7 linked regions of the Rattus norvegicus genome follow. The protein of the gene in region 6 interacts with the protein of the main gene of each other region in a pairwise test. Links are inferred from orthologs where the notes say so. Each region holds a gene or a part of one and is shown on either strand. Other genes may lie near its edges.

Evidence for each region.
Region 1: the proteins of Snca (region 6) and Usp8 interact in a two-hybrid assay, tested with the Homo sapiens proteins (2 studies listed by BioGRID, with this or other methods). The link is inferred for Rattus norvegicus from reciprocal best matches to the Homo sapiens genes SNCA and USP8.
Region 2: the proteins of Snca (region 6) and Tor1a interact in a two-hybrid assay, tested with the Homo sapiens proteins (2 studies listed by BioGRID, with this or other methods). The link is inferred for Rattus norvegicus from reciprocal best matches to the Homo sapiens genes SNCA and TOR1A.
Region 3: the proteins of Snca (region 6) and Csnk1d interact in binary tests that used the Homo sapiens proteins (3 or more experiments, as listed by UniProt). The link is inferred for Rattus norvegicus from reciprocal best matches to the Homo sapiens genes SNCA and CSNK1D.
Region 4: the proteins of Snca (region 6) and Bcl2l1 interact in binary tests that used the Homo sapiens proteins (3 or more experiments, as listed by UniProt). The link is inferred for Rattus norvegicus from reciprocal best matches to the Homo sapiens genes SNCA and BCL2L1.
Region 5: the proteins of Snca (region 6) and Arfgap1 interact in binary tests that used the Homo sapiens proteins (3 or more experiments, as listed by UniProt). The link is inferred for Rattus norvegicus from reciprocal best matches to the Homo sapiens genes SNCA and ARFGAP1.
Region 7: the proteins of Snca (region 6) and Sqstm1 interact in binary tests that used the Homo sapiens proteins (3 or more experiments, as listed by UniProt). The link is inferred for Rattus norvegicus from reciprocal best matches to the Homo sapiens genes SNCA and SQSTM1.

What each region holds. Positions count from the first base shown.
Region 1 is NC_086021.1:134,446,526-134,450,025, forward strand, and holds part of Usp8 (ubiquitin carboxyl-terminal hydrolase 8), read left to right. Parts: intron 1-1,852; coding exon 1,853-2,413; intron 2,414-3,500. UniProt on the Homo sapiens protein: Hydrolase that can remove conjugated ubiquitin from proteins and therefore plays an important regulatory role at the level of protein turnover by preventing degradation. Converts both 'Lys-48' an 'Lys-63'-linked ubiquitin chains.
Region 2 is NC_086021.1:34,647,921-34,650,169, reverse strand, and holds the end of Tor1a (torsin-1A precursor), read left to right. Parts: intron 1-1,162; coding exon 1,163-1,413; 3' UTR 1,414-1,749; downstream 1,750-2,249. UniProt on the Homo sapiens protein: Protein with chaperone functions important for the control of protein folding, processing, stability and localization as well as for the reduction of misfolded protein aggregates.
Region 3 is NC_086028.1:106,734,189-106,737,688, forward strand, and holds part of Csnk1d (casein kinase I isoform delta), read right to left. Parts: exon of another isoform or gene 2,399-3,500; coding exon 2,250-2,398; exon of another isoform or gene 1,404-2,249; coding exon 1,175-1,403; exon of another isoform or gene 766-1,174; coding exon 595-765; exon of another isoform or gene 1-594. UniProt on the Homo sapiens protein: Essential serine/threonine-protein kinase that regulates diverse cellular growth and survival processes including Wnt signaling, DNA repair and circadian rhythms. It can phosphorylate a large number of proteins.
Region 4 is NC_086021.1:161,761,976-161,766,049, reverse strand, and holds the start of Bcl2l1 (bcl-2-like protein 1), read left to right. Parts: upstream 1-1,274; 5' UTR 1,275-1,340; exon of another isoform or gene 1,341-2,715; intron 2,716-2,781; exon of another isoform or gene 2,782-2,799; 5' UTR 2,800-2,911; coding exon 2,912-3,475; coding exon of another isoform or gene 3,476-3,766; exon of another isoform or gene 3,767-4,074. UniProt on the Homo sapiens protein: Potent inhibitor of cell death. Inhibits activation of caspases. Appears to regulate cell death by blocking the voltage-dependent anion channel (VDAC) by binding to it and preventing the release of the caspase activator, CYC1, from the mitochondrial membrane.
Region 5 is NC_086021.1:188,474,476-188,476,742, forward strand, and holds the end of Arfgap1 (ADP-ribosylation factor GTPase-activating protein 1), read left to right. Parts: intron 1-460; coding exon 461-537; intron 538-719; exon of another isoform or gene 720-806; intron 807-1,099; coding exon 1,100-1,436; 3' UTR 1,437-1,767; downstream 1,768-2,267. UniProt on the Homo sapiens protein: GTPase-activating protein (GAP) for the ADP ribosylation factor 1 (ARF1). Involved in membrane trafficking and /or vesicle transport.
Region 6 is NC_086022.1:91,025,974-91,029,144, reverse strand, and holds the end of Snca (alpha-synuclein), read left to right. Parts: intron 1-1,058; coding exon 1,059-1,142; intron 1,143-2,075; coding exon 2,076-2,108; 3' UTR 2,109-2,671; downstream 2,672-3,171. UniProt on the Homo sapiens protein: Neuronal protein that plays several roles in synaptic activity such as regulation of synaptic vesicle trafficking and subsequent neurotransmitter release.
Region 7 is NC_086028.1:35,034,951-35,038,914, forward strand, and holds the start of Sqstm1 (sequestosome-1), read right to left. Parts: upstream 2,801-3,964; 5' UTR 2,767-2,800; coding exon 2,568-2,766; intron 610-2,567; coding exon 514-609; intron 273-513; coding exon 46-272; intron 1-45. UniProt on the Homo sapiens protein: Molecular adapter required for selective macroautophagy (aggrephagy) by acting as a bridge between polyubiquitinated proteins and autophagosomes.

The sequences.
Region 1 (3,500 bases), on a different chromosome or scaffold from region 6:
GACAAGTGATTCTGTTTATTTGAGGGATTTCTTTGCTTATATGAAAAAGTAAGAAGGCAAAAAATAAAAGTGAAAAGAAAAAACAGTAACTTTGTTCTAATGTTAACATAAAATACCTTTAATAAGCATGCTGCATAAGTCATTATTAAGAAGTTCTCAGTTACATTCTCCTTTCTGTTTTGCACACACTATTTTCAAGAAATGTTAGGATTACGTCTCACAATATTGCTGGAGCAGCTAAAGCACCTCTCGGTGCTCACATTCTAGGTATATGGCAGCTTTCTTAATCAGACGTGGTGCTGGGGAGATGGCTCAGTCAGTAAAGAGCCTGTTGTGTAAGGATGAGGATCTGAGTTCAGGGCCCCAACAGCCACATGAAAGCCAAGTGTAGCATCACACACCTGGAATCCTGGAACCGGGGAGGCCAGAGTAAGGGAATCATGAGCCTGTTTCAGAAAGTAAGATGGGGGGCCAACAAGATGGCTCAGTAGTTAAAAATGACTTGAGTTTGAACCCTAGGACCTATGTGGTAGAAGGGGAGAACTGACTCCTGCAGGCTGTCTTCTCACTCTCCCTACCAAGTAAATACAATTAATAATAGCTTTAAAATGTATAACAGGGATAAGAATAAAGAAGTAGGGCTGGTGAGATGCTTTAGTGGGTACAGGCATTCATGCATGGGCCTGATGACCTGAGGTCAGCGTCAGTCACTGAACCCTGCAACGTGGGAGAAAAGGCCCAACTTCCGAGAGTTGTCTTTTGACCTCCACACTTGACTCTGCATTCACACTCACATGCGGTGTACACACACAAAATAAGTAAGTATGTTGGGGCTGGAGAGATGGCTCAGCGTTAAGAGTACTGGTTGCGCTTCCAGAGGACTTGAGTTCAATTCCCAACACCAACATGGCAGCTCACAACTGCCTATATATAATTCCAGTTCCAGGGGTCTGACACACTCACACAGACTCTTACACTCAGGCAAAACACCAATGCACATAAAATAAAAATAAATATTAAAAATAAAGGAAGAAAAATGTTTAAGTATTAAAGAATGAGTAGTAGACTGGCTATGATAAAGTTTATTTAATTCATTTACTCATTTTGTTTATAGGTCTATGTACTTAAGTATATGTATATGAATTACAACTTAAATATGAATGGCAATGTAAAATAGGATTTTATTAAACGAAAGAGAAACATGGTCAGATTTGTTTTACAATGGATGAGTGACAGGTTAAGGCTCTTGCCAAATAAACCCGGTGACTTGAATTCAATTCCTAGAAGGTGTTCCATAAAGGTGGGAGAAAATTATCTTTTAATTTTCACACTTATGCTGGGCACATCAGATATGTAGCTGGAAATGGTGGAGGCTTTTCTGGAGTTTTGGAGTTAGGCAGTAGGCTTCCTGGTAGTCTCAAAGCTGGTAAAGCTGAAAGGAATCTCATCAGGCAGCAGAAAGCTGTGGGAAGAACATGGCCTTGAACTGCCATGGTTTTATAGAGCTGTGTGGAGAGTGAGGGGACGCTCTGTATCGTGGGCATCATACATTCATCTTTGGCCATGCTGGATGTGAGGTATTGTGTGGCACTTCTGTGGAGATGGGGAGGGTAGATGGGTGTGTCAGTATGGAGCTTCAGACTCGTCTGTCCAGTCTTGGTTCTGTGGTCAATCATTAAGACATGTAACTCTTGTGAGCCCAGAACACATGATTGCAAACGGAAACTAAAGTAATACTCCTAAATTTTGCTGAAGCAAAATTTGTAGGTTTGGGGCCAACTTAGCCTATGTGTAAGAACTTGTCTCAAAAACAACACAAAAAGCAAATTTTGTTCTATTTGTGTTTCTCCAGGTTGATCGTACAAAAAAACCAGCAGTTAAGTTGCCTGAAGATCATAGAATGAAATCTGAAAGTACAGATCAGAGTGGAAGAGTTCTTTCTGACCGATCCACCAAGCCAGTATTTACCTCTCCAGCCACCATGCTAACAGATGAAGAAAAGGCTCGCATTCATGAAGAAACAGCCCTTCTTATGGAAAAGAATAGACAGGAGAAGGAACTGTGGGAAAGGCAGCAGAAGGAACAGAAAGAGAAGCTGAGAAGGGAGGAACAAGAGCGCAAAGCTGGAAAGACCCAGGATGCAGAAGAACGGGACTTCACTGAGAATCAGCACAAAGCAAAGGATGGACAAGAGAAGAGAGACAGCAAACAGACCAAGGCAGAAGACAGAGAGCCCCCAGCAGATGGGGCCCAGGACGCCACAGGAACGCAAAGACAAAGTAAGAGTGAACACGATGCTTCCGATGCTAAGGTATCTGTGGAAGGTAAAAGGTGTCCCATGTCAGAAGTGCAGAAGAGGCCAGCAGATGTGTCGTCTGCATCCTCCATGTCGGGAGAGCTGAGTGCAGGCAAGGTAGGTAAAACAAACAGTAAATGTGTATAAGATGATGACACAGGGATTAGGGGGATGTTTGCCCAGAAACCGGGAAAGGGAATAACACTCGAAATGTATATAAGAAATACTCAAGTTAATAATAATAATAATAATAATAATAATAATAATAATAATAATAAGGTTTTAGAGCTGGAGAGGTGGCTTAGAGGCTAAGAGCACTGACTGCTCTTGCAAAGGTCCTGAGTTCAATTCCCAGCAACCACATGGTGTCTCACAGCCATCTGTAATAGGTTCAGATATCCTCTTCTGATGTGTCTGAAGACAGCAACAGTGTACTCATATACATAAAATAAATAAATAAATCTTTTTTAAAAAAGGTTTTAGTTAATAAATAGACCTTGCATTTTGAGTAGTATGTAACGCCAGTAGAGTCTGAGAGCATAGTGAATACACATGAAAAATTAACGTTTTACACCGCATTGTAAACCAGCGCTTCACATTCTGTTGAGCTTTATTTCCTTCACTGACTCATTTTTCTCTTTAGGGGTATGAAATTCCCAGTGAGCTCAGTGTTAACCTTGGCAATAAAATACACCTTTCAGAGAGACTTCAAAGTTTTCTTTTTGTTTTTATTTTCAGTCTGATAGGTTTAATAATAGTTTAATTTAGGTATTTACATATTATAAAATTTACTTGTTTTTAACATGCAGTTAGTCAGTGACTTAAAAATTTACAGACTTGGGGCTGGGGATTTAGCTCAGTGGTAGAGCGCTTACCTAGGAAGCGCAAGGCCCTGGGTTCTGTCCCCAGCTCCGAAAAAAAAGAAAAAAGAAAAAAAAAATTTAGACTTTTTTTTTAATGTGTATGGATGTTTGCCTGAATGTATGTCAGTTCCTCTGAGGAGGGCAGAAGAGCACGTGTCTTGGGAACCCACATCCTCTGGAAGAGCAGCCTGTGCTCTTATCCTCTGAGCCATGTCTCCAGCCCCTTACCCAGCAGAGCTCCCATGTTCATGCTGTAGCATGTATTGGCAGCCTGTTTCTCCATGTGGCTAAGTATTATAGGCTCTGCACACACACACATGTCAGTTTGCATTGTTTAGACA
Region 2 (2,249 bases), on a different chromosome or scaffold from region 6:
CTCAGGTCTTGGCATCTGGCACAGAGTAGGCCTTCAACGCAGAAGTTACACTGGTGACTGCTCCACAGTTGGTTTGTTCTTTGTTGTGGCCACAGGTCCTCCCCCAAGTACTGTATGTGTGGAGCACCATTGGGAGAACACAGACCCCGGGCTCTCTGCACAGCTTTCACGGGAGCCAGAGCACAGAGATCAATAGGCTAAGCAGGACATCAAGACGTGACCTGGGTGCTCTGGGGCGTCCTGTGGGTGCTGGGTCGAGTGTTCCAGGACTGGGAGGTGGGAGGCTGAGCCAGGCAGGGCCCGGCTTTTGTAGGGAAGATGTCAGAGCCCAGACTTGTGTGGTGCACAGCCTTGTTGGCGCACCTTACTCCCCAGGAGTCTAGGTGTTGCTTCCAGAATGCTCTGCATGGTTTAGGCACTGGCAGGCAGCAGCTGCCGATGCCTTCATGCAGGCTCAGCTGTGGAAGCTCTAGCTGGAGACTGACTGGTGAAGTCTATGATAGCCCTCCCTTATCTCTTCTTTGGAACCTCTTCCAACCTGTCCATCAGCTTCCCACCACACTGCCTGGGTCCCAGCACACAGTATGGTACATGTGGCCCTCTGGTCTGCCTCCCATCTCTAAGGCACACTAGAGAGGCCTTTCTAAGCCTAGAGCACCCGTTTGAAAGCTTTTTTGTGTTTTTCATTATTGTGTGTGTGTGTGTGTGTGTGTGTGTGTATGAGTGTGTGGTTGTGAGCAGCCTGAGGAATACTGGGACCCAACTCAGGTCCTCTGCAACAAGCAATAAGTGTTGGTGTTATTTTGTATTTGTGTGACAGGGTTTCTCTATGTAGCCCCTGGCTGTCCTGGAACTCATTCTATAAACCAGGCAGGCCTCAAACTCCAGAGATCCACCTGCCTCTGCCTCTGGAGTTCTGGGATTAAAGGTGTGCACTGTTAAAGAGGTTCTTAGTGAACCCCAGAGGTCCCTTTCTGTCCCCCTGCCCTTGCTGTCACAGCTGCAGCCCAAGGCAGTGTTCATAGGCAGTTGTCCACTCCTGTCTCCCTCCCTCACTGTGTGGAGCATGGTCTCCTCGCTCTGGCTCAAACAGGCCCCATGAACATGTAGTAATCACTCCGTTACTACTCAGTATGACATGGCGTCTGTCTGTCTTTCACAGGTGGCTTCTGGCACAGCAGCCTCATTGACCGGAACCTCATAGACTATTTTGTCCCCTTCCTGCCCCTGGAGTACAAGCACCTGAAAATGTGCATCAGAGTTGAGATGCAGTCCCGTGGCTATGAAGAAGATGAGGACATAATCAATAAGGTAGCTGAAGAGATGACGTTCTTCCCCAAGGAGGAGAAGGTCTTCTCTGACAAGGGCTGCAAGACTGTGTTCACCAAGCTGGACTACTACCTGGATGACTGAGCCCTGCTGCCAGGTGCTCTGTAGTCCGCTCCTCTCCCCACAAGAGGCTTGGACACTTCCTGCTGAGGCTAGCGGGGATCCCATCAGGGGCGGTTTCTGCTCTTTGGAGCCTGCAGGTGGCCATGATGTAGGGACCACAGATGCAACATGGACCTAAAGCTCCTGGAGCCTCCAAAGGACGAAACCAGCTTCCAGCCTGCCCATTCTGGGCTCATGATTTTTTTAAAATTATGTTTTAATTTCAAGTGTTTCTGTTTTGAGGCAGGACAAGTGAGTTTTACTGCAAATGTGATAACTTTATTTAAAATGGTTTTTAATACTATGAGAAGCCTTTCAGCTGTTGGCTGTGTGTGTCTTTTCAAACTGTTGGGTAACATCACCAAGCACGGACATCTGTGGCATGGAATGGTAGGTATCTCAGGAACCAGGGGGCTGAAGGGCCCTGAGGGGCCATGAGTGGTTAGATGAGACTGCACCACAGATGTGCCTGGACTCCTTAGGAATAAGACAAGTGAGCTTAATGGTCCTGCGTGACGGTCAGGGCCACTCCAGATGCCATGCACAACAGGGCTCTGGATAGGTGTGTTTTATGCAATTCATGGGCACCTGCCAGAGCTGGGCTGGACTTCTGTAGCTGTGGTTGTCACTCACAGCCCTCACAGGGCTGGGTTTAGCAGAGAAAAAAGAACCTAATGTCAAAGCTAGGCCAACTGCTGGCAGGACCACACTCTGCCTCTGCTAACAGCCTGTTCAAGGCCCCTTTTCAAGTGGCCCAGGGCTTCCAGCAATGGTTCCTCGTCCCCAGGAGTCATGTCAGGTCTGACCACTCACCTGAA
Region 3 (3,500 bases), on a different chromosome or scaffold from region 6:
GAACTCAGGCCTTAGGGAGACTGCTTGGAAAATAAATTCAGCATGTAAGCAAAGGTACAGTTCAATGGTAGAATGTGTCAAGGCTTGCACAGCACGTGTGAGGCCCTGGATTCCATATCCTGCACCCTCCACATCCTCCAAAGGGTCAGACACCAGAGCAAAATTTAGACATTGAGGGCATTCTTATCCCAGGAGCAATTTCCCTCAACAGGAAAACTCCCTCGGAAATGGCTCTAGGAGGTGAGGGTAAAGATGGTCAGTTTTAGATGTCCTTAGGCCTCCCACTACTGTGTTCCTTCCCCAGTCATGGGGGTCATTTCCCAAGGCTCAGTCCTGCCTCATTCCAGTCTCTTCTGGGCCCCACAGAATACCTTGACCAAAGTGCTTAGGGATTGGGAGTGGGATGACGTGGTGGTGGTGGCAGGTCCCACTGCCACCTTCATATAAGTGCCCATTTCATGTAACTCTTCTCAGAAGGTGAGCAAGTCTGACAGCACAGCCAGAGGCTCTCCATATGAGCATCTAGTCAGCACTGGGACAGGTGGCTGCTGGCATGCCCCAGCAAATTCTGCAGCAAGGATGTGAGGGACTCACAAGGATAGCCCTTGCACAGCACTTCAATTGGAGTGGACATCTTCTTCTCACTGATCCTCTCATACTTCTGCCTCTTGGTGGCGGCCTTCAGCCCCTGCCAGGGGAGAGAGCCCAGGTTGAAGTACATCAGCACGTACCCCAGAGACTCCAAGTCATCCCTTCGAGATTGTTCTGGAAGAAAAAGGGAACTATGTCAAGGATGGCATGTGTGTGTGTATAAAATCAATACCTGGCAAACAAAAAATTAGAAACTTCAAAAATAACAGAAAAATATACTTGCAGAATTATGTCACCAGAAGTTGTCCCTCACATTTGTTAAAGAAACCCCCCCTTAAGACTTCAGGGGAGCAACATCAACATCTTGAAGAACTGCTGGAGAAGCCAGCTTCTGCTACCCCACTGTACTTGGCAATACAGAGATTCTGGTTGCTCAATTCTGCTTGTCTGCTACCAAGGTTGGCTAACAGCTTCCACATCTCTCATCACCTAGGCTGCTACATAAGTTGGACTTTCCCTAATCTAAGGGATGGACATGCTAAAGGTACACAACGTCAAGTGATCCATCTCTGTCAGGGCTCACCAATGCCAAGGTGTGTGTTGATGGAGGCATAGCGTGCTGTCCCTGTGAGGTTCTTGTTCTCTCGATAGGGGATATGCTGGTGGGTGCGGGCATCCCGATACTTCTTGGCCAGCCCAAAGTCAATGATGTAGACCAGGTTGCCTTTCTTTCCCAGCCCCATGAGGAAGTTATCTGGTTTCACGTCTCGGTGGATAAAATTCTTCGAATGAATGTACTCAATACGACTTATCTACAGAGAAACAAAGGTAAGACTGAATCTCATAGTGGTTCATGCTGGAAAAGGAGGCTGCCTGGCAGTGAGGCTCCCATTACACATTCTCTTCTCTACTTTCTGGAGAGCAGTGATTTCAGTTAAGGTAGTCTTCTCTCAAGGTATCCTCAACTCTCTGTCCCTCGACAGGCCCAGACATTTTTTTTCTCTTTAGTTCCCAGAGGAATAGGTAAGACAGCAAGCTGCTTGGTTATGGTTCACATCAGATGGACTTTGAATGAGTCATAAACAAGAATTTTCATGAAAACCATTCAAGTGTTGCTACCAAATGTGGACTCCCTGAGAGAACTGAAAGTCCATTCGATATGGATACAGGGAGGAGGGGGGAGAGAAGTTACTTTCTTTTTTTTTTTTTTTTCTTTTTCTTTTTCTTTTTCTTTTTTTTGAAGCTGGGGACCGAACCCAGGGCCTTGCGTTTGCTAGGCAAGCGCTCTACCACTGAGCTAAATCCCCAACCCCGTGAGAAGTTATTTTCTAATTCAATCATCTTGAGGCCAAGATTAAACAAATCCCCCTTTCTTTCTATGCACAAATGGATGTAATAATGGAGATATGGCAACCTAGTAATTTGTTTAGTTTTTTGAGATGGGGTTTCACTATGTAGCCCTTATGGGCCTAGAACTTGCTGTGTAGACTAGGCTGGCCACAAACTCATAAACATCTGTCTGCCTCTGCCTCCTGAGTGCTGGGATTGCAAGCCACCATTGCCAATGTAACCCAGTAATTTACTCTAGTAAGCCAGCAAGCACATGCCAAGTGCTTGCTACACTGCCTGAACACTTCAGGAAAAGGGGTATTGCTTACCATTTGGTCAGCAAGCAACAGAACAGTTTTGAGACTAAACTTCCTTGAACAGAAGTTGAATAGGTCTTCCAGGCTGGGTCCCAGTAGCTCCATCACCATGACATTGTAGTCCCCCTCAGCCCCACACCATCTGATGGTAGGGATGCCCACTGGAAAAGAAACCAAACACAGCACTTCAACCCATGCTACTGTATCATATCACTTCTATTCAACTCGACAGGTGTTTAGCAGATTATGTCTGTGGGTGTTCAAGGGGTTCAGACGATATTGGCAATGTCTGCCCTCGAGTGTGATGTCCACTTGTAATTAAGCTAGACACAGTTAGCACGTGACAAAGAGCAAGCTGACAGGAGTCAAACAAGCAGTGGCAGCAAGTGAGGTAGTTGATTTCATAACATCAGCATCCATGGAAAGAGAAAACATCAGGTAAGACAGGTCCAGAGAAGCCAGCCGGATGCCACAGTTGCACCAGTGAGGCTGGAATCAAATGCTGAGGAACTAAGGAGAAAGAACTGCCATGGCTTGTAGAAGAGAGAAAAAAAGCGTTTCCTTTTTCCAATATCGATGGGAGAAAAGCAAACACAATGACAACTTCTTGGAGAGTCATTCAGATTTTGAAAACACCAACTGGTAGGAGAGGGAATAAAAGAAAAAAAACAAAACAAACAAAAAACCAGGACAAATCCAACATTAAGAAACCAGTCAGGTGTGGTGATATGCTTATGAGGTAGAGCTCTAGGATCAGAATGTTCACACCTTGGGCTACATACTAAGACCCTGTCTAGAAGAAAACAGCAATCACGCCACCGAATAGCCCAGAACTCCAAATGAGGGAAGAACTGAAGGATGCCTTCAGATATTAGACCTGAAAGCAGTCAATTCTAAACACTCTCTACTTTTGAAGAATGGGACAAAGACCAAGTATTTTATCTAAGAGCATACACAACAGTCACAAAAAGATGGTCAGAAAAAAGCTGAGAGCACTTGAATACTGCTAGGAACAAGGATGCACAAAGCAGCTTTGCTCAAGTCAAAGAGCAAGCGCTACAGAGAAGCTTTATACGATGCCTTGTGCTCTCCTCTGCCTACCACCAGAGCATGAGGTCTAGGAAGCTCCACCTACTGCCACTGGCTTTTACCATACGCACTCCACTTTTGGTTCTGTCATGAGCCCAAGGCCTCTCTTTCCTTTCATGTAAAACATTGAGTGGAGCTTCAATGTGAGTTTAGATGTTTCCGGTGAGATCCTAC
Region 4 (4,074 bases), on a different chromosome or scaffold from region 6:
CACCAGGAGGCTGAGATCCCAGTAGCTCTCAGTCCACAGAAGCTGAACTGCTGCTATGAGTTCAAGGTCAAGGGCAGCCCAAGTTAAACAGCTACATAACTAGACCCCGTATAAGAAGAATGAACTTGCCTCACCAGCTGAGGATGGGAGTTCCACTCCTGAACACGATTTACTCCTAAAAGTTGTCCTCAGACCTCCAGATAAACATGGTGGCCCATACACACCCACACTCACGTGCACATACCCCAAAATAAAATAAACTTTTGAAAAACTGAGTTACTGCTAGAGTTATCCGGTAGAAAGCCTGACTACCATGCACAAAGCTCTGGGTTTGATCCCCAGCAACACAAAAACTGTGTATAATAGCGAGACAGAAGAGGTGGCTCAGTTGTTAAAGGCTGGGCTCACAAACAAACATATGCTACATAGTTCGAGATGGTGTAAATAAATGTCTTTCTACTGCACTGGCCAGCCAGAGTCGGGGTTTGCATTTTTTTTTTTTTTTGGTTCTTTTTTTCGGAGCTGGGGACCGAACCCAGGGCCTTGCGCTTCCTAGGTAAGCGCTCTACCACTGAGCTAAATCCCCAGCCCCGGGGTTTGCATTTTTAAAAGGATCATTCACTCATTCACTCTAAAGCAAATCTCGTTTCACCATGATTATCACAATGTCAGGATTTTCTCCCCTTAGAGTTTACCTTGCGTATTTTCCTAGTTGGATATTGCCTCCACCCCTAAGGTATAAGTCTTCATAAAAACAGAGACCTTGGGGTTGGGGATTTAGCTCAGTGGTAGAGCGCTTGCCTAGCAAGCGCAAGGCCTGGGTTCGGTCCCCAGCTCCGAAAAAAGGAAAAGAAAAACAAAAAACAAAAACAGAGACCTTGCCTTGCCTCGTTCATAACCGTCTTCAACAATCCAAAGGCTTTCTAGTCTTCAGACTTTTCAAGTAATATCGATACACAGTCAATGAAAGGTCAATGCTGCTGTCTATTTGTAAAGTGAGGGGGGGAAATACACAAGTTGGGAAACCTGTCCGATGTCGGACACCCAGGAAAAAGCACTTTTTCTGTAGTATACAAACGGATAGATGGATGAAGGAACTAGATTGATGGAATGTGAACCATTAGCGTTCCATGCGCCTGCGCTTCCTCAAATCGCTCGCCAGGGGGCGCTGCTCTCCCACGTCTCAACGCCAGTCCCTCCTGGCGCGCACTCCTTTTGCGTCTCGGGCTCGCGCGCGCTGCCGCGGCACCGGAAGTGACTGCGCTTGCAAGTTCCCCCGGTCTCTTCAGGGGAAACTGAGGCCGGCTTCTCCGGGAGATTCGGCACGAGCAGTCAGCCAGGTAGGCCAACCCAAGTCCGCGGCGTACTTCCCAGCCGCAAAACGCCCTCGTATCTGGAAGCCACTGGGCCGATGAAGGGGGGATGTGGCCCCCCACGGCTCGCTGGGCTCTCAGGTGAGGGCGCCGCCTCCCCTGTGCCTGACAGGCGCTTCGCCCAATGGGAGCCTTGGCCGTCCCGCTTCCGTGCCGACTCGACCCGCGGATTGGCTAAGCTGGGGCGGGCCGCGGGGGCGAGACCCCTCCTTCCAGAGAGGTCTAGGGGGCGCCCCTGAGGGAGGGCGGTTGCCTAGCAACGGGGCGGTGGCTCGGCGGGTACCCGGCCTAGGGGAGCGCGAGCAGTAAGCGAGGCCTCAGCCCACCCACCCGGGGCTCCAACGCGTAGCGGCCTCCGGTCCTGGAGCCCTGCAGGGGGCTCCAGGAGGCCGCCTTGGGTCGGGTCTCAAGAAAACGAGGTCTCCGCTGTGGGAGCCTCAACCCTTCTTCCTGGCCAGTGGCGGGGCTCAGCGCCTCCCTCTCACCCCGTCTTTGTGCGGGGTGCCGGCGGCCATTGTGTCCGGGCGCGGAATGGAGGACCTGGCAGTCCCCCAGTGCTATGTCCAGAGCCTTTGGGGAATTCAAAGACAACTAGCGGTGTTTGTGGGGGGTCTCCAGCCTACTCCTCTTGGAAAGGCCCGGGAGTGGTCTTTCCGAAATCAGATCGCAGATCCGAGGCCGTCTCCCCCTCCCCGCGTCCCTGCGCGAAACCTTGAGATTCACTGAGAAGTCCCTTTAGGGTTTCGGAAGCCTCATCCAGGGCTGGTACTTAAATAGAAAGAAAGAAAGGAGGGGTGGGGGGAAATTACACTAAACCCATACCTCCGGGAGAGTTCTCCTGGCTCCCAGTAGGAGGCGAGAGCCAAGGGGCGTGCTAGAGCGAGGGGGTTGGGCTCCCGGGTGGCTGGAGGCTGCGGAGCAGAGAGGCCGCCCTCGATCTGGGCGATGGAGGAAGCAAGCGAGGGGGCAGGTTCCTAAGCTTCGCAATTCCTCTGGCCTGCCTACCAGGTCGCATGATCCCGGCCGGGACCGGGGTTTTTTGCTGAGTTACCGGCGACCCAGCCACCACCTCCTCCCGACCTATGATACAAAAGACCTTCCGGGGGCTGCACCTGCTCTCTGTCGCCGGAGATAGATTTGAATGTAGGTGGTGGTGGTGGGGATGTGCCAATGGGGGTGACTTTTGGAGAAAGGCATTTCGGAGAAAAGGGGGTGGGTGGTTGTAGTAAAAAGAGGCTGATGAAACAATTCAAAGCTTGCTGGTCCTTTCAATTTGACTTCATTGAAGTCTCTTAGAACCTGGACTCAGACCTTCATAAGAGCCACAAAGAAACCAATTCTGGTAACTGGGGGAGGAATGGGGATTTTGTAAGGTAAATGACATGCATATTAAAATTTTCTCCTGAAGCTCTTTCTCTCTCTTCAGAACCCTATCTTGGCTTTGGATCCTGGAAGAGAATCGCTAAACACAGAGCAGACCCAGTGAGTGAGCAGGTGTTTTGGACAATGGACTGGTTGAGCCCATCTCTATTATAAAAATGTCTCAGAGCAACCGGGAGCTGGTGGTTGACTTTCTCTCCTACAAGCTCTCCCAGAAAGGATACAGCTGGAGTCAGTTTAGCGATGTCGAAGAGAACAGGACTGAAGCCCCAGAAGAAACTGAACCAGAAAGGGAGACCCCCAGTGCCATCAATGGCAACCCATCCTGGCACCTGGCGGATAGCCCCGCGGTGAATGGAGCCACTGGCCACAGCAGCAGTTTGGATGCGCGGGAGGTAATCCCCATGGCAGCAGTGAAGCAAGCGCTGAGAGAGGCTGGCGATGAGTTTGAACTGCGGTACCGGAGAGCATTCAGTGATCTAACATCCCAGCTTCATATAACCCCAGGGACAGCATATCAGAGCTTTGAACAGGTAGTGAATGAACTCTTTCGGGATGGGGTAAACTGGGGTCGCATTGTGGCCTTCTTCTCCTTTGGCGGGGCACTGTGCGTGGAAAGCGTAGACAAGGAGATGCAGGTATTGGTGAGTCGGATTGCAAGTTGGATGGCCACCTACCTGAATGACCACCTAGAGCCTTGGATCCAGGAGAACGGCGGCTGGGTAAGAACCACGCCCCTTGTGTGTCCGCCCCTTGTGTGTCTCTCCTCTGTGGAGATCCCTAACTGCCCTTTTTGGTCTCCTGGCATGGTTGTTGAAGATATCGATTATTCAGGAGACATTCCTGGCTTCACTTTAATACCAGGGGTTAACTTTGGGAATATTGATGACCCTGTTTTTAAGGAACCTGTATTTTTCATTCTGGCTACCCTTGTGGCCCCGCAGTTTCATAGTTTTGTTCCAATTTCTCGGCAAAGAAAAACAGCCTGTGTGTTTACTTGGCTTAAAACCTAGGAGAGTAGCAAGTTCTCCCTGTGTTCTGCTCACTCTCACGTAATGGGTCACCTTGGCTGGGGGGAGGAATATAATACCTGGAGGAACTGCAGAGCTGATAACCCCAGGCTCCTGTGTGCTCGCATGCATGCTATTCAGACCATTTGGTCAGGCAGGAGCCCCACTGGCTTGACTGGCTGAATATTGTCTGATTTTAGAGAAGGTGGTCTGAGCCAATTGTGTTTGTGCTGTGCCCCTAAGTTCATTTTCACCATGGTTGGCTTGTTTGGGGAGCCCTTGCTGTGCCCCAGGACTTTGTACCTCACTGC
Region 5 (2,267 bases), on a different chromosome or scaffold from region 6:
GTAAGTGCCATTGTCAGCTATTGCTGGTCCTGTGACCTCAGGGCCTAGTGTGATGGGGGCGGGTTCATCAGACTTCACAACACGATGGCAATAGAAGATGTCTCCTGAAGTCTTCCATTGCATTGTAGTAAAGACAAGGCCTACAGTGGCTCACAGCTCTGAACAGGTCCCAAGTGTTGTGGCATTGGGAAGGCCATGCCTTTCACTATGTATGTGGCATTGTCCCAGCCATTACAGAAACTACTTCTGCAGAGATGGCAGAGAGATGCTCACAGCAAACTAAGCAGCCAAGAGCTAACTGTAACTTCACCACTGCTGCTGTGTTACTGTGCATAAGTGTGTGTGTATCTATATGTGACACTCCTCCAAGTTTTGTCTTAGCAGGGCAGCATCCATTTTTGTTGTTTTAGAGCCAGAGGTGCGATGTAGTATGTGGACTTGGTTTCCTGTCTCCTTCCAGGTCCAGGGAGTTGGCAGTAAGGGATGGCGTGATGTCACGACCTTTTTTTCTGGGAAAGCTGAAGACACTTCAGACAGGTAGTCCATGTCCTCACCCCAGGCCCTGGGTCCCTTGGGCTCCCTGAGGTGGCCTGGCCCCTCATCCTATGCCCAGTGCTGCACACGGTTCTTTACTAGAGGCACAGTGACTGCCCTCTCACCCCACCCCAGGACCCCTATCATGGACAAAAGCTTGTATCTTTTTTCCCAACACCCTACAGTTTGAGTGATGAATGGGAATGAGGTAGCAAGAGACAATCCCTTCCGAAAGTTCTGTGTCCTCAACACCAGGTTGGAGCCTTATCAAGGCAAGTCAGCTCTCAAAGGAAAAGGTCCCTCACCTGTAGGGTGCTCTGACTCTACGGGGTGGCTAGGAAGCACTTGGAAAGGCATGGGCCTCTTCCTAGCCAGGAAGAAAGCATAGAGCTGTTGCAGGCCTTGGCCACACCTTGGTCAAATGTAGGCTGGGCTTGTAAAGCAATGAATGGGTCTTGTTCTAGAGAGCCGTTGGGACCTGAGCAGATTGGGCAGCGTGGGGATACAGGAAGCACAAAGTATCTTTCTGTGACAACTCGTGAGATTTTGTCCCTCTCTGTAATAGACCCTTAGAGGGCCACAGCTACCAGAACAGCAGTGGAGACAACTCTCAGAACAGCACCATAGACCAGAGCTTCTGGGAGACCTTCGGGAGTGCTGAGCCCCCCAAGGCCAAGTCCCCAAGCAGTGACAGCTGGACCTGCGCAGATGCCTCAACGGGAAGGAGGAGCTCGGACAGCTGGGACATTTGGGGCTCAGGTTCTGCATCCAACAACAAGAACAGCAATAGCGATGGCTGGGAGAGCTGGGAGGGAGCCAGTGGGGAGGGAAGGGCAAAGGCTACCAAGAAGGCAGCTCCATCTACAGCCGCCGACGAGGGCTGGGACAACCAGAACTGGTAGGAGCCTTGCTGCACCCTAACCCAGCCCTGCTGGGAGACCGCTGTGTTTGCACTTTACCCTTGTTCCTCCTTCATTTGACCTCAGTGTGAAGACAGTGGCTCAGGCAGGACTTGAGTTGGTGCTGCCTGCCTGGTGTGGGGTGGCTTTCTCTTAGACCTCAGGGGACATGTCATCCACCTGCCTCTTGGGTCCTCTGAGCAGCCTTCCTGGATTCTGGGTTCTTGGGACCCAGGCACTGTCTCTGCAGCCCTAGCATAGCCTGGGACTGCAGCCCTGTGCAATGTCAGCTAAGCCAGACATCTGCTTTCGTTGAAATGTCTTTTTAAACTTGAAAGGTCTGCTAGTTCTTTCTTCTTGAAGAAAGTGCCTGGAGCCTTAAAGCTGGAAATGAAACGACAAAAGCAATACTGGAGCTCACACTGCCACCGACACCCTCACCTAAGTCCACAACCTGTGGCTTGTGCTGTGAAACTCACTTTGTGACCCTCTGCCTTTCCTGCATCAGCCTGTCCAGCCCTCAGTTAAATGGGACAAACTCTCCACAATGGCCACACAAAGCAGACTGGGCTCTGGTCTTTCTCGGACACCCAATTTGAACTTGGCCAGCCCTGGACAGCTCAGTAATGAGGAAAGGAGAGTAAGGGGTCTGGGACCGTTTTCAGTGTATCCGCCACCCCCACACGGTCCAAGGGAGCCTGAGCATGGAGGGTGGACTGAGGGGCCACCTGCCACTGCCAGGGTCAGGCATTTTAATGGGCACCTGTTAGCATTTGCCATGTATTGTGTCTGTGACAGCCCAGGCCTTCTCCCAGCCTGCTCAGGCTGCTCAGA
Region 6 (3,171 bases):
CAAATTAGCCCATTTAGGCTCCAGTTACATCTCTGTTCTTTGAATATTTGCTGAACTCTATCATTCAGTAATTACTTTGGTGGAACAAACGGGAAAGAACAAAAAGGCCTTTGATGGAGAAAACAAAGAAGGCACATCATGTCAGACTGAATGCTATGATGTCAGCACTGTGGAGAGATAATCTGAAATTTTGTCCAATCTAATCTTTGGCTTCTTTTTTAACTTCAAGTATGTATAATTTCCAGATTTCCAAAGAGAACTATTTCTTTGGGAGCATTTATAAATGAATTTATTGGAGCCAGAAATATAGCTTAGTCATTAAGAGCATATGTTTTTCTTCCAGGGGACCCAAGTTTATGTTCTAGCATCTGTATGGAGAATCACAATTGTCTACAGCTCAAGCTTCTGGGAATGTGATGCTTTCTTCTGCCCTCTGTTTTCACCACACATGCATAGTGCACAGACCTACACACAGGGCAAATATCCCTACACATAAAATAAAATAAAACAATGAATTACAAAACACATGGACTTTGCCTTAACAAATTTAGGGAAAACCATAATGATGTGTCTGTATATTAGTTCCACTTTCTTGGAACATTTTTACTTTCGGATTCAAGTGTTGTGTGGATTCTGTCCACAAACAATGTCCTGTTAAACATTACACCAAAATTAAGTCGTCCCTATTAGAGAATTATCATGATTTCAGAAAAAAATAGAATATTTTGCCATTATTTGATTCATCATTACCAGTTCACTACAAATCATTGCTACTATAACATTGTGCTCATGGAGAGAACTTAGGGTCTTTTGCTTTGCAACTTCCTGGGTAATGAGTTACTTGGGCAAAAGCTTTGAAAGCTTCAGATTGGTAACCCATGTTTGCATGATGTTTTTCTCTGGTGGTTTGGTACAGTTTGGCTCGGTAATTCTGAAGAATGCACTTCTGAGAACACTTCTTGTAGCGCCTTGAAGGTATACCTGACATAATTTTTTTTCAAGTTATGCTTCAGTAGTGAAAACACTATCTTACTGTGCTTTCACTTCCCTGTCTGTAGGGTGAAGAAGGGTACCCACAAGAGGGAATCCTGGAAGACATGCCTGTGGACCCTAGCAGTGAGGCTTATGAAATGCCTTCAGAGGTAAATGCTTACAAACAGAAAACCAAGAAAAATACCCTTAGGTATTTTCTTAGGTACCTTCAGAGGTAAATGCCTATGTGCAACACTCAGCCACTATCACATCTCCCTCATATTATGGTTTGGGTAGTTCAATCATAAAAAGGGTTTTGAGAAAATGATTTTAATCTTTGTGGAAGAGAGTAAGGGATATGGCAGGTCAAAGGAAGAACATTTTAGAACATTCTAGCACAAGAGGTTACCAGAAACAAAGGCATATGAAAATGCCTGAGCAACAATGGGCAGTTATGAATCATGTTTAGAAAACATAAAATATGATAGATTAAGGCTGAAGACATAATTAAGGTTATAGACAAACTGTAGAGTCCCAAATTAACTTTGTCATTTAAGTTTATATTGACATTTGAAAAAGAGTTTGATAATAGGTTTAGTTTAACAGTAGAATCCTGATATAATCAATTAATTGAGGAAGTACCATTCCTGTTATGAATGTTACCTAGATTTTGTCCAGGAGGCTCAGGCTTTAGAATAAATGAGCCTGTGTGGAAACCTCTCATGAAGGTGGGGTTTCCTAATGGGGGAGAAAGGAGAAGGATGAGCTCTGGAGGAGGCTTTATGCAGCTCACCTAGGTGTTCACGGCTCACAACGCAGAGCAAAGGAGAAAATCAGAGCCCCAGCCAATTCATACTGCAGCACGAAATCACAGATCAAAGGATATATCTAGAATTAGGCCTAATAATCTGTGATGACCCCTATAACGTACAGATGCTACGTATGGAAAAACCAATACATGTTCATGACAGATAAGCCCCAAACACTGAGCTGAGGATCAATTTTATCTGATTGAAAGGCTGAGCCCTCCCTCCTGTGAAGCAGACAGTTGATAACTGTCACTTCACTGACAAGGCATGCTCTTATTTTTTTCCTGATATTAGGAAGGCTACCAAGACTATGAGCCTGAAGCCTAAGAATGTCGTTGTACCCACTGTCCTAAGATCTGCCCAGGTGTTCTTCCATGGCGTACAAGTGCTCAGTTCCAACGTGCCCAGTCATGACCTTTTCTCAAAGCTGTACAGTGTATTTCAAAGTCTTCCATCAGCAGTGATCGGAGTCCTGTACCTGCCCCTCAGCATCCCGGTGCTCCCCTCTCACTACAGTGAATACATGGTAGCAGGCTCTTGTGTGCTGTGGATATTGTTGTGGCTTCAAACCTAAAATGTTAGAAGAAACTTAAAACACCTAAGTGACTACCACTTATTTCTAACTCTTCACCGTTTTTTGTTGCTGTTCTCAAGAAGTTGTGATTTGCTATAAGACTTTTAGATGTCCTTAATGATTCTTTCTGTCTAAGAAGAATGATGTGCTGTGAAATTTGTTAATATATATTTTAAAATATGTGAGCATGAGACTATGCACCTATAAATATTAATTTATGAATTTTACAGTTTTGTGACGTGTTTTATTAACTTGTGTTTGTATATAAATGGTGGAAATTAAAATAAAATAAAACATTATCTCATTGCAAAACCTTTTTCCTGTTTCACTTTAGTAACAAAATCATGCGTATCAGGAGCATGAACATGAAATAACAGCTGACAAAATGAACTAGAATGTAAAGTCTTAACACTATCTTGAAGAATTGGGAAGTGTTAGAGATGGAACTCTCTCCTGCAGGAGGAATTCTCCAGTGCCATTGCCCACAGCCAGCTTGATATACAGTCCTGCTCAGAGCTGTGGGAGCACTGAGAAACACTTCATTGGAACTGAAAGGTGTGAGGGATAGCGACTACAGCCCTTTTACATATTCATAAGACATATTAGCATATCCAAGGCAGGCTGTGGAAGAACCTGCTTAATTTATTGCATGTACACATGTGTGTGTGTGTGTGTGTGTGTGTGTGTGTGTGTGTGTGTGTGTGTGTGTGTAAGGAAGAACTCAGGAAGTACCTTTCCCATTCCCCATCCCTCCTCCACCTGTTTCTATGAATGTGCTCCCATTCACACCCACCCACTCACACCTCAACACCCTGG
Region 7 (3,964 bases), on a different chromosome or scaffold from region 6:
CCACCCTGTCCGACACCGCCCCAGGACTGCAGAGAACCAGCTCACATCAGAGAGGTGGCCAAAGGGGTTGGGAAAGATGAGCTTGCTGTGCTCCCTGTGCAGGCCCTTCCCCTCGCAGACGCTGCACAGGTCGTAGTCGGGGCACACACTGCACTTATAGCGAGTTCCCACCACAGGCCCATTGCAACCATCACAAATCACGTTGGGGTGCACCATGCTTCGTGCCTCCTGAGCACATGGGGGGCGATGTTCCCGCCGGCACTCCTTCTTCTCTGCAGGGAGAGTCCAAGAGTCCAATTTAGTTGCAGGTAAACCACTTAGGAGGCCAAGAGGTACCAAGCCCTGCTCTGTTCAACACCCATGGCCCACACAGCAGGACCTTTGTACCTCTGACACCTCCCAACCCCCCTATATCCACCCCAAGGCATCAGAACTCATCTCTGTCCTAGAGACAACTCAGACCCCTGAGCCTTAGAGGAAGTCCGATGGGAAGTACCTGGATGCAGTCTTTACCTTTAATGTAGATGCGGAAGATGTCATCTTTCACATAGGACATGGCCATTGTCAGTTCCTCATCACTGGAGAAGGCGACCAAGTCCCCATCCTCATCTAGATTGTTTAGGAAACAACATATCAGAGCCAGGGACACAGCTCATTGGTGGAGCGTGCAGAAGACTTAGGTGCCATTCCCAGAACTAGAAGCCGAAAGGGCAGCACAGGTACCCAGCATCTGCTGGATGCCCACTGCTATGTACAGGGAGCCCAATGGTAAGGGACATCTACAGAGGCTCTAGACGCAATCTGAGTGCTGGAGCAAGCAGCCAGATGGCCACTCATTCTGATATGGCGTGAGTACATGTTCTAACCCAAGTCCTAGATCCGGTACATGCACAAGGCAGAGCATATGTCATGTGTGTAAGGGTCCAGCTTCCTGCCACAAACCACTGGGCCATTTGTGCCCTCAGGCCACACGTAAGTAGGCCAGGTCCATTTTCACCTGGGAGATTCCAGCCAGTACCCTGTCCTGATGGTCCAGCCCTTCAAAGGCCTCAGGCTTCAGAAGGAAAGGAGGTAAGCCCATCTGTCCCCTCCCTTCAACTACGTGACCAGAAACCACTGTGCATTCAGACGCTGTCTAAGTTGTTCTGAGGTTGAGGTTGCTCTGTTGGTTTTGTTTTTGTCAATTCTAGGTTTTCTGCGCCCTGCCTGGCCTGAGACTGCTTAGAACAGGACAGCCTCCAACTTGTGTAGGTGAGCCTCCTTAGTGCTGGGATCACAAACATATGCAACCAAGCTGCCAAGTGGTTTGGGTTTTTTTGGGTTTTTTTTCTTTTTTGCCTTTTGATATTTACTTTTACATATGTATGTACGCACTTGAACACACAGACACACACACACACATACACACATGCACACTTATGTGTATGCATGTGCCACGAAGGCCATAAGAGGGTGTGGGATCCCCAGGAGCTGCAGTTGATATGAGCGCTAGGAACAGAACTTGGGTCCTCTGGAAGAGCAGCAAAGGCTTTAACCACTGAGTCATTTCTCAAACCCATCTGCTTTCATTTTTACATTAGCACACAGGTACTGGGAGCGCAGCCATATATTTCTATGTCAGTACAAACAGTCTTCAACCACCTCATACAGGACAAACCACACATCTGCAGGCTAGGATATATATATATATATACATATATGTGTGTGTGTGTGTGTGTGTGTGTGTGTGTATCAGGCTAGGCTATACACACACACACGTAAAATTTATAAAAAAAAAAAAGATTCTAAACCGAATGTGATAATAGTTATATAACTCACTTTTTAAAAAATGCAAGGAGTTTGGGGGGCGGGGTGGTAGCTCAGTCAGTCGAGAGCCTAACATACATGAGGCCCTAGCACAAAGATGACTCGGAAGGACATTAAGACCTGGGTGAATTGTACTGGACCTAGGTTAAAACTCACTTACACTGAACATTTTTTGTCCAGAATAATCCCTATGATTCCTGCACTGGAAAGCTGAGACAAGAGGATTGAAGTGAGGCCAGCCTAAACCACTCGTAAATTCAAGGCGAATCAGGCTACGTGGCTTTATCTCAGAAAAGAGACAGACTGATCAACCAACCTGGCCTACCCACAGTCCTCCATAAAGAGATCTCAATCTTATCCCCTCCCAGGGGGAGGGCCTTGTCCACTAGTCTCTTGTCAACAACTTCTAGCTCCACCCCATGCAGCCATCAACCACTGCAACGCAAGAGACGGAGCTAGTTCCGGGGTCCCCTACCTCCCTTCCCACGGGCTGCCCCACCCCGCCCCCGCCGCTTATTTACCCGCGTCACTGCTCTCCACCCCTCCTCCACATCTGCCCGGTCCCAGCTCTTCCGGGCCTTTAACTGAACCCATCACCTGATGATACGAGGAGCAAGCGAACCGCGGGATGTCAGCTGTAACCTGAGCGGCCGCCTGACCACCCTGTCCCCGCGGGCAGCCAGAGGACACGCCATCGCGTCCTCGCCCAGACCTGATACTCCGCGGCGGGGGAGGATGGCTTCCCCGCCCCGAGCCCTTACCGCGGTAGTGCGCCTGAAAGCCTCCAGGCCGCAGCGCGGGGAACAGCACAGCCACCCGGCTCAGCAGCCTCTCGCAGGGCCCCGGGCCAGCCGCGGCTTCCGCCTCCGGCTCCGGGCTGAAGCAGAAGCTGAAGCGGCGGATCTCGCGGGCCGCCTCCTCCTTGCCCAGTAGATAGGCCTTCACCGTGAGCGAAGCCATAACCGCAGACTAGGTACGGAGGAAACAGCTGGGCAGCGGCGGCTCCGAGAGCCCAGCTTTTATAGGATACGGGGGGAGCCCCGCCTCGTGGGGGGCGGAACCTCTCTGAGCTCCGCCCCTCCCCGCTGTCCGGGCGGCCGCTCGAGGGCCCTTGATAGGACCCCTGACAGGTATGGGGGCGAGACGCCCCCACCGCCTCCTCTTTTTCTTTCCCTCCGAATGCATGGGTGACCCCAAGAGACCAGCCTCAGTCTCAGTTCGATGGGAAAAGGGCCGGTAAGTATCCGAGCCTAGGCTCCTCCCAGGTTTGGGCCTGCTTATGACTCAGCAGTGTAGTCCCCAAGCCAAGGGGGATGGATGCCCCAGCACAGAGGCTCAGACGACACAGATGCCTACTGTCAGGTAGCCATTCCTTGGCCAAACAAGCTGTTTCACGGGATACTGTTCCAACCCTCCCAAACTTAGTGTCCCCCGTAGTAGCCCTCCACCCTACTCTCTCTTCAGGCATCCACCATGACCAGCCCCTCACTGAATAAAGGGACATCATCCATATGTTAGGCCTGATCCAATTTGACAAAGACTGGATGTTGGACTAGCACTGGTGACTTCTCACAAACCCACCCTGTAGGAGGGGTAGCCAGGGCTCCAGAAACTGCAATAGTCACCACTACTAAGACTGAGATTCCTCACAACAACCCACATAATACACACACACACACACACACACACACACACACACACACCACAGCACACAGGCTCTAAGGGCGGAGGGGAAGGAGCATGTATCTCAGGCCTTAGTGGCTTCAAAGAGCACAAAGGAATCAGACCACTTGCCCTCCAACTAGGAACTAAAATACAGGCTTTAGCCAGTCCTGTGACACAGACTTGTTATCCCAGCTGTTTGAGATGCTGAGGCAAGAGAATACCAAGTTCAGGGTCTGCCTGAGCAGCTTGGTGAAGCTGTTTCAAACTAGAAAGTGATCTGAGTACTTGGGAGGCCAGAGGTTCCGGAGTTCAAAGCCAGCCTTGGCTACAAGAAGCCTCTCAAAAAAAGGGGGGGGGGGGGCAAAATAAAGAGGCTGTCTATGCAGTTTAGTTAGGATACAACTCATGGGGATTTAGCTTAGCATGGATATACTCAGGGAGATTTAGCTTAGTAGGGATACAGGTCATGGGAATTTAGCTTAGCATGGATATA